Linked DNA regions of Anolis sagrei. The protein of the gene in region 2 interacts with the protein of the main gene of each other region in a biochemical or structural test. Links are inferred from orthologs where the notes say so. Each region holds a gene or a part of one and is shown on either strand. Other genes may lie near its edges.

The links.
Region 1: the proteins of NMUR1 (region 2) and NMU form a complex in vitro, tested with the Homo sapiens proteins (2 studies listed by BioGRID). The link is inferred for Anolis sagrei from reciprocal best matches to the Homo sapiens genes NMUR1 and NMU.

What each region holds. Positions count from the first base shown.
Region 1 is NC_090025.1:73,560,187-73,567,776, reverse strand, and holds the start of NMU (neuromedin-U), read right to left. Parts: upstream 3,206-7,590; 5' UTR 3,076-3,205; coding exon 2,913-3,075; intron 1-2,912.
Region 2 is NC_090023.1:266,931,762-266,938,893, reverse strand, and holds the start of NMUR1 (neuromedin-U receptor 1), read right to left. Parts: upstream 3,187-7,132; 5' UTR 2,732-3,186; intron 1-2,731. UniProt on the Homo sapiens protein: Receptor for the neuromedin-U and neuromedin-S neuropeptides.

The DNA.
Region 1 (7,590 bases), on a different chromosome or scaffold from region 2:
TGAAATGCAGTCTTTAGATGCATATTAAGACCAATGAAGGCACATTGAATTTCGGGTCTCACACTTTTACTGTTTTACTGAATGATTAAAAAAACAGCTTTTTTATTGAAAATATGTAACAAAATGTGAAAACAAAATCTGTTCCTGGTTTGAAAGTGTTATTTCCTGTTTAAATGGGCAGTACTTATTTTGAAAATAATAGTTCTACTTCAGAAACTTTGTTTTTGTGGCTGCCACAAATTAGGTCAAATTGGTTGAAACTTAAAAATATATTCCTTGAAAAACATAGCAAAAATGTGCTGCAGGAGGTCCGTCTAAAACAAAATATGGGCAGTTTAATAAACTTGCCCCATGTTTTTATGATAGAACCAATTAGGAAACGACATTTATAACCCAGGAACAAAACTGGTGTTGCACAGTGTTATTGGGTTGATTGAGAGTTCTGGATTTTGTTTAATAGTTTCAGTTGTTAGGTTGGATATCTCTTTTGGTTGTTAGAGGTATCAGGCTCGATCTACTCTGCTCTATACCCCAGGTTCTGATCCCAGATTATCTGATTTGAACTGAATTCTATGAGTCTGCACTGCCAAATAATATAATCTGGGATAAGCAGATAATCTGGGATCAGATCCTGGGATATAGGGCAGTGTAGATCCACCCTCTGATCTTACAAGCAGTTTTGTAGTATTATATAGATCATATCATAATTAACAATAATCATATCGTAATTAAAAATAATCACATCATAACTAAAATAATTATAATTAAATATAATTATATATAGAGGGAGGGGGTGAGAGAGCAGCTCATTGGAAGGAAGGATATTAGAGGCAAAGATGAAGTATTTTGGCCACATCATGAGAAGACAGGAAAGCTTAGAGAATACAATTATGCTGGGGAAAATGGAAGGAAAAAGGAAGAGGGGCTGACCAAGGGCACGATGAATGGATGGATGGTACCCTTGAAGTGACTGGCTTGACCTTGAAGGAGCTGGGGGTGGTGATGGCCGACAGGGAGCTCTGGCGTGGGCTGGTCCATGAGGTCACGAAGAGTCGGAAGTGACTGAACGAATGAACAACAACTCTCTCTCTCTCTCTCTACACACCCACCCACACACACACACACATATATGTATCATATCATAATTTTTAATTATGATAATTTTTAATTATATATATATATAGAGAGAGAGAGAGAGAGAGAGAGATGATGTATTGTGATATGATCTAGGTCAGTGGTTCTCAATCTTCCTAATGCCATGACCACTTAATACATTTCCTCATCTTGTGGTGATCCCCAACCATAAAATTATTTTTGTTGCTACTTCATAACTGTAATTTTGCTACCATTATGAATCGTAATATAAATATCTGATATGCAGGATGTATTTTCATTCACTGGACCAAATTATGCACAAATACCCAATACAATCAAATTTAAAAAATGGTGGGGTTGGGGGGATTGATTTTGTCATTTGGGAGTTGTAGTTGCTGGGACTTATAGTTCACCTACAATCAAAGAGCATTCTGAACTCCATCAACAATGGAATAGAACCAAACTTGGCACACAGAACTCCCATGTTGTTGTTGTTGTTCATTCGTTCAGTCGTCTCCGACTCTTCATGACTTCATGGACCAGTCCACGCCAGAGCTCCCTGTCGGCCGTCACCACCCCCAGCTCCTTCAAGGTCCCATGACCAACAGAAAATACTGGAAGGTTTTGACAGGCATTGATCTTGAGTTTTGGAGTTGTAGTTCACCTACATCCAGAGAGCACGGTGGACTCAAACAATGATGGATCCAGACCAAACTTGGTATGAATACTCAAAGTTCCCAAATGTGAACACTGATGGAGTTTGGGGAAAATAGACCTTGACATTTGGGAGTTGTAGTTGCTGGGATTTATAGTTCACCTACAATCAAAGAGCATTCTGGACCCCACCAATGATAAAATTATGCCAAACTTCCCACACAGAGCCTCCATGACCAACAGAAAATACTGTGTTTTCTGATGGTCTTTGGTGACCCCTCTGACACCCCCTCACGACCTCTCCAGGGGTCCCGACCCCCAGGTTGAGAAACACTGATCTAGGTGATATTACAAACCTGCTTGTAGGATCTGAGGCTGGATCTACACTGCCCTATATTCCAGGATCTGATCCCAGATTACCTGTTTATCCCAGATTATCTGGCAGTGTAGACTCATAGAATTCAGTTCAAATCAGATAATCTGGAATCAGAACCTAGGATATAGGACAGTGTAGATCCAGCCTCAGATCTTACAAGCAGTTTTGTAGTATTATCTAAATTATATCCTAATTAAGAATAATCATATCATAATTAATATAATTATAACTAAGTATATATATATATATATATATATATATGAATTTTAATTATGATCTGATCTAGGTGATATTATCAAACTGCTTGTAGGATATGAGGCTGGATCTACACTGCCTTATATTCCAGGATCTGATCCCAGATTATCTGTTTATCCCAGATTATCTGGCAGTGTAGAATTCAGTTCAAATCAGATAATCTGGAATCAGAACTTGGGATATAGGGCAGTGCAGATCCAGCCTAATACCTCTAACAATAAAAAGAGATATCCAACCTAACAACTGAAACTATTAAACAAAAACTAGAACTCTCAAATCAGATAATCTGGAATCAGATTCTGGGATATAGGGCAGTGTAGATCCAGCCTGATACCTCTAACAACCAAAAGTGACATAAATATACATATACATACAAATGCATCCATATAGATCTCAGAAGCAAGCAAGCCCAGGAGAAAAGATAAGGAGGGACACTTGGAGGGAGGAGTAGATCTCTAGACAGAAGGAGCGCCTGAAAGAGGGAGAAAGGCGTGGGGTGGCGAAGGGAGGGGAGGGTGGGAAGAGCCCTTACCTTTGCAGGAGCTGACCCCAAAGGCGAGGAGGAAGAGGAGCAGCCCCCAAGGGGTGCCCGACCCGAGGGGCATCTTCCTGGGGCGGCAAAGGCTTCTCCCGCCCTCCTCCGAGGCTGCCAAGGAAGGCTGGGGTCGCCAACAAGCGCCCGCCCGGCTTTGCATGGTTCCTGGGCACCTCTCTGCCTTTGGCGCGCTTTTTGCCGCCGCTGCTTTCCTCCCGGCTTTGCAACTCCCAGCCAAACAGAGCGGACTTTTAAATCTCCCGGACAGGAGGAGGAGGAGGAAGAGGAGGGCAGAGCTTGGCTCAGAGTCACGCTCTGTCAGAAAGGCAACTGTCTAAACCTGGTCACGCACACACCCTCCAAAGAGTTCTCCTATTTCTCAAATTATTTAGTCACCAGCTCTAGCTAGCAGTTGGTAGGGAAAGGGACTAAACGGCTTTCCCCCATTTTTTTTACCACATATGAGGGTTTTTCACTTCTCCCAATCCCCTTCCTCAAAATATGAAGACTTCCACCTATCTCAACATCTGCCACCAGATGTGAGGGCTTGCATTTATCCCACCTACACCTACCAAATATGAAGGCTTCCACTTATCCCAACCCTTGCCAGCAAACAGGGCTTCTATTTATCCCAAACACAGCTATGAGGGATTCCGTTTCTCCCAACCAAGCTACCAGATGTGAAGGCTTCCATCTAACCCAACCAAGCTACCTCATGCGAGGGCTTCCATTTATCCCAAATACAGCTACCAAATATGAGGGCTTCCATTTCTCTAAACCAAGCTACCAAATGTGAAAGCTTCCATTCAACACAACCAAGCTACCTCATGTGAGGGCTTCCATTTATCCCACACACAGTTACCAAATATGAGGGCTTCCATTTATCCCAACCAAGCTACCAAATGTGAGGGCTTCCATTTGTCCCCAAATAGAGCTACCTCATGTGAGGGCTTCCGTTTATCCCAACCAAGCTATCAAATGGGAAGGCTTCCGTTTAACCCAACTACAGCTACCAAATATGAGGACCTCCATTTCTCCCACCCACAGCTACCAAATGGGAAGGCTTCCATTTAACCTAACCAAGCTACCTCATGTGAGGGTTTCCATTTCTCCAAACCAAGCAACAAAATGTGAAGGCTTCTATCTAACCCAACCAAGCTACCTCATGTGAGGGCTTCCATTTATCCCACACACAGTTACCAAATATGAAAGCTCCCATTTCTCCCAACCAAGCAACCAAGTGTGAGGGCTTCCATTTATCCCAACCAAGCAAACAAATGTGAAGGCTTTCATTTATCCCTACCAAGCTACCAAATGTGAAGGCTTCCATTTAACCAACCAAGCTATCTTGTGAGAGGGCTTCCATTTATTCCAAATACAGCTACCAAATATGAGGGCTTCCATTTCTCCCAACCAAGCAACCAAATGTGAAGGCTTCCATTTAACCCAACCAAGCTACCTCATATGCTGGCTTCCATTTATCCCAAATACAACTACCTCATGTGATGGCTTCAATTTATCCCAAATACACCTACAATATATGAGGGCTTCCATTTCTCCCAACCAAACTACCAAACGTGAGGGGTTCCATTTTATCACCCACAGCTACCAAATGTGAGGGCTTCCATTTATCCCACGCAAACTACCAAATGTGAGGGCTTCCATTTATTCCTCTAAGCCCTTGTGGTTCTGTGTGAGATTTTATTTATCTTCTTTTTCCACTGGGCACCCCACTCTTGATTCTGAACTGCCACCATAGACACCTTGTCTGAACTTGGCTTTCCAAGAGACCAAAGCATTTCATGCAAAAAGATGTATTTATCAGAAATCGAACATGAGATTAGATTTGTTTTTAATGCATCGAAATGACATATTTCCCTCTCATACACATCTCCTTGCTAAGTCTGACTCTGAGTCTTAGTTCTCTTCTATCTCAGATCCTAACTTATAATCATTCACATTCTGCATCCCACTAACTAATTTCTAATACTGACAGACCCAATTCTCACCAGACTAACAACCATATGCATCTTCACTTTTACAATCCCCTCAGAAAACCAGCTGATCACAAGTCCCAATAATCCATGCCTCACATGGAACATTCCATGCCTGACAGATCACCAAATTATTCCATCTACAACATGAATACACAACCATGTTTTACATTAATGCAGCAAACAAATGTAATAACAAAGAACTAATTCAGAAGATCACAGGGTTAACACCTGAGTCTGGAAGTTAACCATCCCCAAAACTGGATTGAAGGTTACAATATCATGAAAAGAGCTGTTGGTCCCATCAGTCTTTTGTGACTAGCACATGTAGTGTAGCAAGCATGGAACAAGGTGATGAATCCTCAGGTGGCAAAACAGACCTTGGTTCTTCAATACCTATTCAGTGCTCTACGAGAGAATGTGCACTAGAAAAAATGATTCTATTTCTCTTTCAGTTCAATTATGTGATAGTTTTCTGCTTGCAAGGAGATTCATTTCCCAGGGATGAACATTTTAAAAATGTCATTCTGATATGATCCAGGATTATTGCATCATTCAATGTTATGTGTAGACCAGACTTCCCAAGCAGAAGGTGGTAGAGATGCTCCAGGTGAGAAATTTCTTCCATTTCTATATTCATTTGCTTCAGAGATTTCCTCTTTCATCGTCCCTTATCAGCATATCCAATTGTAACAAATGCTAAGAGCTGCAGTCTAGCAACATGTGGAGGGACCCCATAGATCACCCCTGATTTACTGTATTCCTATTCATAAAGACTCCATCTGTGCGCACATTTCAGCCACCCCATCCCAGTTGTTCTCCAGGTTTGTTGGACTAGAGAGGTGGTTTCCAACCTTTGGTCATCCAGTTATTCTGTACTTCAACTCCCAGAAATCCCAGCCAGTTTACCAGCTGTTAGGAATTGTGGGAACTGAAGTCCAAAATACCCGGAGGTCCAAAGGTTGGGAACCACTGGACTAGAGCTTCCCTAAATTTGCAGTCACCTAAGGAGCTGTCTGGGGGTTTATGGAAATTGGTGTTCAAGACACATATGAAGAAGATCCTCAAAAAATCCGTTCCTGTTATGGATATAAAAATTCTGGTGTTGTATGCAAATACCTATATGTTTCTACAAGGGAGAACAGATTGGACATTAGGATTTTAATAGGGAAAAGACAGGAAGAAACACTGAAATCTCTTGCACAACTCTGCAGTCCTTCCTATAATTCTCTCTGGCCCATTTTATAGCTACTATTAAACTTTTTCTTTAAAAAAATCTTTTGATGTCACATCTAGTTTAGCCCTAAGCAAGTTGTGGGTGTAGGTTGCATTGAACATAGTGAGACATACTTCTAAAAATGGGCATAAGTTTGGGATTCATGAAAAGTGTCTTTGGGGAAGGTTTGCAAAGAGTAAGCATCCGAAATTACATGTAAAAAGTTATATATTCACACGCACACCCCAACATTGGATCCTAACTTATGAAAGGAAATGAAAAGCATCATAGTGAAAGATAGTTCCAGAGATCCCCATCAGTCATTACTAATCAGAGTAGACATCAAAGGCCTGGAGAAACAATTCTGAGCTAGTTGGACTCAGTATCAGTTTTACAGAATTAGCCCAAGTAAGGAAGTTGTTGTGAGCCCAAATTTTGGCAGTAACCAAGTCAGAGACTATGAGAGGCTACTGGTTTGCATTTTTATTAATGTACTTTTTATTTTAAAACTAATTTTAAAATTAATTTACTGTGTAATTACAATATGTATTATTTATATGTAACGGCATCCAATTGTGCCAGATGTAAGCCGCCCTGAGTCCGTCCCCCCCCCGGAGGGGGGGAGGGTTGAGAAGGGCAGGGTACAAATGTTTGAAATAAATAATAAACAATAAATTAATTAAGCAATGAACCAGAGAATTCCGAATCTAAAACATCAAAGATCCCCAAATCTGAAATTATCATGGCTCCTAAGCAATTGTAGCCTTAAAATCAATTTCCATTGAGAGGCAAGCATGCCACTAAGCCAGAGTGACAACATGAGATGGCAAAGTTGTAGATGTCAGGCCAAAATACTTACTTTAAGGCTTTGCATTCTATGTTTACCTGCTGAAAGATGTCAAATACAATGAATAGGAAAGGACTTCTGTTGATACAGTTGCATTCATTAGAGACACTGTCCAGGGTCCTGAAAAGCTTGCTGCTCTGTTTTTAGGAAGCCAATTTCAGGGAAGAAGACAACCAGCATGATGTAGTCATTTGTGTATTAAACAAGGATACTGGGAGATCAGATTTCAAATCCTTGCTCAACCATGGGAACCTACTGGGTGATCTTGGGCAGGTCACACTCTCTGAGCCGCAGGGGAAGGCAAACCCCTCTGAACAAATCTTACCAAGAAAAACATCATGATAGGTTCACTTAACAGTTGCCATAAGTCAGAAATTACTTGAAGGAACACAACAATAGCAGCAATTTCAAAGGGAAAAAAACCCTGTCAAAACCACCTTGGAGTATGCCTTGTTTAAGAAAGCGCTTTGAAATTCAAGGGGTCACCATAAGTAGACAGGCTATTTGAAGATTAAACCTGCCAGACTGTTTCCTGCCTGACATCCTACCCATGAGCTCTGCTTGGCCAGATGGCAAACACTGCTATAACAGCCAAGAATATACAAATATAAAGCCACC
Region 2 (7,132 bases):
ACGTCAGGAGAGAATGCCTCTAGACCATGGCCATATAGCCCAAAAAACCCTACAAAGTCTTCGACAATACATAATAATAGTTTGTTTATAACCAGCCCTATCTCCCCGAGGGGACTCAGGGTGGTATTCTAAAACCCTCTCAAAAAAATAAATCCAAAAGTCTTCTAGTTCCAAGCATTTTGAATAAGGGACCCTTGACCTGTAGCAATAAAGAAATCAGAAGTGACAAGAAAGAGGTGACTTTCCAGCACTGCAAGGAAATAACAACCTGGCCCTCCAAACAATGCCATCAGAAAAGCAATTTCCGCAACGCTGAGTGCTGGAATGCGCAGAGCATGGAAAACACGCATTCGTAGTAACACAGGGCGCATCTCCACTGTAGAATAAATGTATTTTGATGCCACTTGAATGGCCATGGCTCCATGTGATGGAATCCTGGGAGGTGAAGTTTTGCAAGGTCTCTTCACCTTCTCTGCCAAGATGTGCTGGTGCCTCGCCAAACTACAAATCTCAAGGTTCTTGTGGGTTTTTTTGGGCTATAGGGCCATGTTCTAGAGGCATTTCTCCTGACGTTTCGCCTGCATCTATGGCAAGCATCCTCACAACAAGAACCTAGTGATTCCAGCCATGAAAGCCTTTGACAATACAAATCTCAAGTTTCCATAGTAGTGAGCCATGGCAGTTAAAGTGGTGCCAAACAGTGTAGATTCATTGTATTGTCGAAGGCTTTCATGGCCGGAATCACTGGGTTGTTGTAGGGTTTTTTTGGGGGGGCTATATGGCCATGTTCTAGAGACATTCTCTCCTGACGTTTCGCCTGCATCTATGGCAAGCATCTTCACTATCTCTGAGGATGCTTGCCATAGATGCAGGAGAAACGTCAGGAGAGAATGCCTCTAGAACATGGCCACATAGCCTGAAAAAACCTACAACAACCCAGTGTAGATTCAGCCAGAGTTTCCTTTGTAGCAGAAAAAGGCCAAGATTTCTGTGCAATTTCAGGATTTGATTCCTTGTGGACAACAAGTTAATGAACCAACAATGTTATGTGGCAGCAAAAAAGCCAATGGGATTTTGTCCTGCATCAATAGGAGCATAGTGTCTAGATCTAGAGAAGTCATGCTATCCCTCTATTCTATTTAACCTTGGTCACACCACACCTGGATTCACATTGGGTCCAATTCTGGGCACCGCAATTGAAGAGAGATGTTGACAAGCTGGAAAGAGGGTGACTAAAATGATCAAGGGTCTAGAGAACAAGCCCTATGAGGAGCGGCTTAAAGAGCTGGGCATGTTTAGCCTGCAGAAGAGAAGCCTGAGAGGAGATGTGATTTTTTTTTTCGTGTCAGGAGTAACTTGAGAAACTGCAAGTCACTTCTGGTGTGAGAGAATTGGCCGTCTGAAAGGACATTGCCCAGGGGACGCCCAGATGTTTTGATTTTTTTATCATCTTTATTTGAGGCTTCTTTCATGTCCATGCATGAGGAGCTGGAGCTGATAGAGGGAGCTCATCTGTGCTCTCCCTGGATTCGAACCTGTGACCTGTCATAGGGAAGAGGGAGCAGGCTTGTTTTCTGCTGCCCTGGAATCACACTGTGTCCAATTCTGGGCACAGAAATCGAAGGGAGATGTTGACTCTAAGCTGGAATGTGTATAAAGGAGGGCAACTCAAAGGATCTAGGGTCTGGAGAACAAGCCCTGTGAGGAGTGGCTTAAAGAGCAGGGCATGTTTAGCCTGCAGAAGAGAAGGCTGAGAGGAGACGTGATAAGGGTCATATATAAAGAGGTGAGGGGAACGGGGAAGTCATAGGGAGGAGGGAGCAGGCTTGTTTTCTGCTGCCCTGGAATCACATTGTGTCCAATTCTGGGCACCGGAATTGAATGAAGAGGTTGACTCTAAGCTGGAATATGTATAAAGGAGGGCAACTCAAAAGATCAAGGGTCTGGAAAACAAGCCCTGTGAGGAGCGGCTTAAAGAACTAGGCATGTTTAGCCTGCAGAAGAGAAGGCTGAGAGAAGACATGATGGGGACCGTAGATCAAGATGTGAGGAGGGAGCAAGCTTGTTTTCTGCTGCCCTGGAGACTAGGATGCAATGGAACTACAGGAAAGGAGGAACATGAGGAGGAACTTCCTAATAGTGAGAACTGTTCAGCAGTGGAACTCTCTGCTTCAGAGTGGGGTGGAGGCTCCTTCTTTGGAGGCTTTTGAACAGAGGCTGGATGGCTATCTGTCAGAGGTGCTTTGAAGGCGATTTTCCTGCTTCTTGGCAGAAATGGGGTTGAACTGGATGGCCCATGAGGTCTCTTCCAACTCTAGGATTCTATGTTTGGGGAGAGAAAAAGGAGGGAGATCCCACCTGAACATGAGGAAGAACTTCCTAACTGTGAGAGCTGTTCAGCAGTGGAACTCTCTGCCTCAGAGTGGGGTGGAGTCTCCTTCTTTGGAGGCTTTGAAACAGAGGCGGGATGGCCATCTGTCAGGGGTGCTTTGAATGCGATTGTCCTGCTTCTTGGCAGAAATGGGGTTGGACTGGATGGCCCATGAGGTCTCTTCCAACTCTAGGATTCTATGTTTGGAGAGAGAGAAGCAGGGGATACTCATTCAGGGATGGGGTGAAAGTCACAAAAGGGGGCCCGATGTTTGCAGAAGAGGGTTTCCCCCCAAAAGGGAGCAATACCAAGGCTTCATTTTGAAGGATTCCTGTCCAACCAACCCAGACACCCACTCACCTCTGCTTCTGTTTCTTCCTCCGCCCGCCCCGTCCATCCAAGAAGGAGCTGTGCGCCTTGAGCCGCTTTCTCAGCCTCGTCGCGGATTCAGGAGATCTCTCCGCATTCAGGGATCCAGAAGCTTAAGGATGGCACGGAGAGGGATCCAGAGGGTTCCGGATGGCACTCATGTCCTCTGTCCTGACTCTGGAAGAAAGCCTTGGAAGAAGAGGAGGAGGAGGAATCTCAGCTTGGAAGAAGAAGAAGAATCATCTCAATCTGCTGCCTGGGAATCCAGTGGAGTCTCCTTCTCTGAAGCAGAGACTGGACGGCCATCTGTCGGGAGGGCTTTGATTGTGCTTCTCCTGCCTGGAATGAATGGCCCTTGAGGTCTCTTCCAACTCTATCTTCCTCTGCTTCTAGGAAAAGGAGCAGGAAAGGCTCGGAAGTCCTGGCGCATCCTTCCTTGGCAGAGTGAGAGCCGGCGTCTGCCGCTTGCTGCGGTTTTAAAGCGCCACTAGAGGGCGTGTCCACACTCTCAGGCCGCCTCTTTCGCAGGGAATAGGACTCTCCTCCATTTGGAAGAGGTCCCCAAAGGCCATCCAGTCCAACCCCCTTCTGCATCGCCATTGAAGCCCTCCCGACAAATGGCCGCCCAGGCTCTGTTTTTGAAGACATTCAGAGAAGGAGACCCTAACACTCTAACTTCAGCCTTCCAGGTGCTTTGGACTTCAACTTCCACAATTCCTAACTTGTAGAAGCTGTAGTCATGTATAAATATGTGAGAGGAAGCCACAGGGAGGAGGGAGAAAGCTTGTTTTCTGCTTCCTTGGAGACTAGGACGTGGAACAATGGCTTCAAACTACAAGAAAGGAGATTCCATCTGAACATGAGGAAGAACTTCCTGACTGTGAGAGCCGTTCAACAGTGGAACTCTCTGCCCCGGAGTGTGGTGGAGGCTCCTTCTTTGGAAGCTTTTAAACAGAGGCTGGATGGCCATCTGTCAGGGGTGATTTGAATGCAATATTCCTGCTTCTTGGCAGAATAAGGTTGGACTGGATGGCCCATGAGGTCTCTTCCAACTCTTTGATTCTATGATTCTAGTCCGAAACACCTGGAGTGTCGAAGTCGGCCCATTACTGCAATATAGGAAAGTGTGTTTGTTTGCATATAATTGATACAGCTCAAACCAGATCAACAATTGAGTCACACAGCTGATCTGGTACACACAGAGATAGATGTTGTTGTTCACTCGTTCAGTTGTTTCCAACTCTTCGTGACTTCATGGACCAGTCAACGCCAGAGCTCCCTGTTGGCCGTGGCCACCCCCAGCTCCTTCAAGGTCAGTCCAGTCACTTCAAGGACGCCATCCATCCACCTTGCCCTTGGTCGGCCCCTCTTCCCTTTCCCTTCCACTTTCCCCAGCATAATTGTCTTCTCTAGGCTTTCCTGTCTCCTCATGATGTGGCCAAAGGACTTCCACTTTGTCTCTCGTCTCCTTCCCTCCAGTGAGCAGTCAGGCTTTATTTCCTGGAGGATGGACTGGTTGGATCTTCTCGCAGTCCAAGGCACTCTCAGCACTTTCCTCCAACACCACAGCTCAAAAGCATCTCTCTTCCTTCGCTCAGCCTTCCCTAAGGTCCAGCTCTCACATCCGTAGGTGACTACAGGGAAGACCATGGCTTTGACTAGGCAATGGATCTTTGTTGCCAGTCTGATGTCTCTACTCTTGACTATTTTATCGAGACTGGACATTGCTCTCCTCCCAAGAAGTAAGCGTCTTCTGATTTCCTGGCCACAGTCTGTGTCTGCAGCAATCTTTGCACCTAGAAATACAAAGTCTGTCATGGCCTCCACGTTTTCTCCCTCTATTTCCCAGTTGTCAATCATTCTTGTTGCCATAATCTTGGTTTTTTTGATGTTTAGCTGCAACCCGGCTTTTGCGCTTTCTTCTTTCGCCTTGATTAGAAGGCTCCTCAGCTCCTCCTCGCTTTCGGCCATCAGAGTGGTGTCATCTGCATATCTGAGGTTGTTAATGTTTCTTCCAGCCATTTTCACCCCAGCTTTGCATTCATCAAGCCCCGCACATCCTTGCATGATGTGTTCTGCATACAAGTTAAAAAGGTTGGGTGAGAGGATGCAGCCTTGCCGTACGCCTTTCCCAATCTTGAACCAGTCTCTTGTTCCGTGGTCAGTTCTTACTGTTGCTACTTGGTCCTTGTCCAGATTCCTCAGGAGAGAGGGAAGGTGGCCTACAACAACCCAAAAGGATTATTTTCCATCCACAACACCTTCTGCCTGCTGTGAGCTAAATTGCTCAATTAAGTATCCTACTTTGTATTTTTTAATATTCTGCTATTTTGGGGATTTCCCTAACCAAAGGGTTATGGGTCCAGTTCAACCCATTTTAGGAGCCTCCGGTGGCATAGTGGGTTAAACTGCTGAGCTGCTGAGCTTGTTGACAGAAAGGTTGCAGGTTCAAATCCAGGTAACAGGGTTTGCTCCCGCTGTTAGCCCCGGCTTCTGCCAATCTAGCAGTTTGAAAACATGCAAATGCGAGTAGATCAATAGGAACGTAACAGCACTCAATGCAGTCATACTGGCCACATGACCTTGGAGGTGTCTATGGACAATGCCGGCTCTACGGCTTAGAAATGGAGATAAGCACCAACCCCCTAGACTTAATGTCAGGGGAAACCCTTTACCTTTACCTCACCACATTTTGACATGCAGGAAAGCACCATCCGAGCACTCCCAACCAGGGCCGTAGCCAGAAAAAAAATTCGGGAGGGGTTGAAATTTGGGGGGGGGGGTTGAAAATTTCGCAGGGGGGGTTGAAACCCGCCTCCTAGCTCACGCTGAAGCAAAGAGGGGCAGAGCAGCCTTCAATAGCCTGCAGCTCCGCCCTTGTCAACCACCTCCACCAAGTCTGGCCTCCTTAATGAGAGCATTCAACATCCCCCCCCCCCCCAACTTGGTTGCTTCACTACTATTCTGTCACGCGCCGGGCCTGTAAATAATTGTCTTTAGAACAGGATGTGCAACCTTTGCCCAGCAGGAAGCCAGGGGGCCTAAAGAGAAGTTCTCAGAGGTTTCCACCACAAACAGTCTTTAGATGGCTTGAGAAGTACAACAAAGTATTTTATTAATGAACAATCAAACAGAAACTTCTCTTGTCTTCAGTAAAGTTAAGCAAATGATTCCAAGCTTTTAGGCAACTGGTGAATTCCTAATCTTGCCCACGAAGGACAGGCAACTGTCTTCAATAACTTCTTCTTTAAAGAAAAATCCCCGTTTTAACTTTTCCCAGGCTGACTGTAATCTAACCCTTACTGATGTGGGCTCCGCTACCGGGTCGAACTGCGTCTCGAACGCCGAGTGGACCTACCAGCAAGGCAGTAGATGTTCTCCAGCTGGAGTTCTTTGGTCTTTAGGGCTGTTTTCCTGGAAATTCTTTGGAGACTCTTAAGACCTTTCTCCCCCGGAAGGTCTTAAGGGTTGAAGCTTTTGTACAGGGGAAGCTTGCACACATCCTATACATAAGCTTACCTTGCTGAGACTAACTAAAAATGGCTCCCTTCCCTTTCCAATTGCCCTGAGCAAGGGGCGGGACCAAAACTTAACGATGATGGACAGGTGACTTGCCCTATGACTGCAACCGAAGGAAGCCACCTATCTGCAGAGTCCCTGAAACCTAGGACTGCAAGCAAACATTTAATACAAAGCAAATAAAGTTGGAGCTCCTGGTACAGCTGTACCAGAACAACTACATCGGCTATTGCTGCAAATAATGACAGTGTGAATAAATTGCCAATATTTGCTCGAGATAGTGCTTGCAGTTCTGGAGGGACTCTTGATTTTTTGCATCTCATAGACTTAGCATGGGGATTTGGTTAACCAGTTAAAATTCATGAGTAAACCAGGTTTTTTAAAAAAATCTGAAACATTTCGGGGGGCGGGTTTGAACCCCTAACCCCCCCCCCCCTCGCTACGGGCCTGCTCCCAACCCATGGCCATCCATCTTCTGCAGCATCCCTTACGATTAAGGGCACCTGCCAGCCCCATGAGGGGCAAGCTTCCTGACCCTTGAATAAAGCATATCCCTTACAATAAAGGGCACTCAAACCCTATAACTTGCTCCCAGAATATTGCAAATGAAAGGGTTGCAGGGAAGTATGATGCCCTGATATGTTTCATACCTGATTGGAGAACTGTCTGCTTTCTCATGAGGATTTCAGCAACTCGGCACTGATGTGGTGTAAGGAGATCTGGGCCTTGTTCTAGCCATGAATAATTCCCACTCCTTCTGGGGTTCTTTGGCTGCTGTGCAGGTGGAGAGAAGTACATTGCAGAAAACAGAGGGAAACGGAGCCGGTCCCCTTGTGTGGCAGAATTCAATATTTGCCGTGCCGCTTGGAGCAG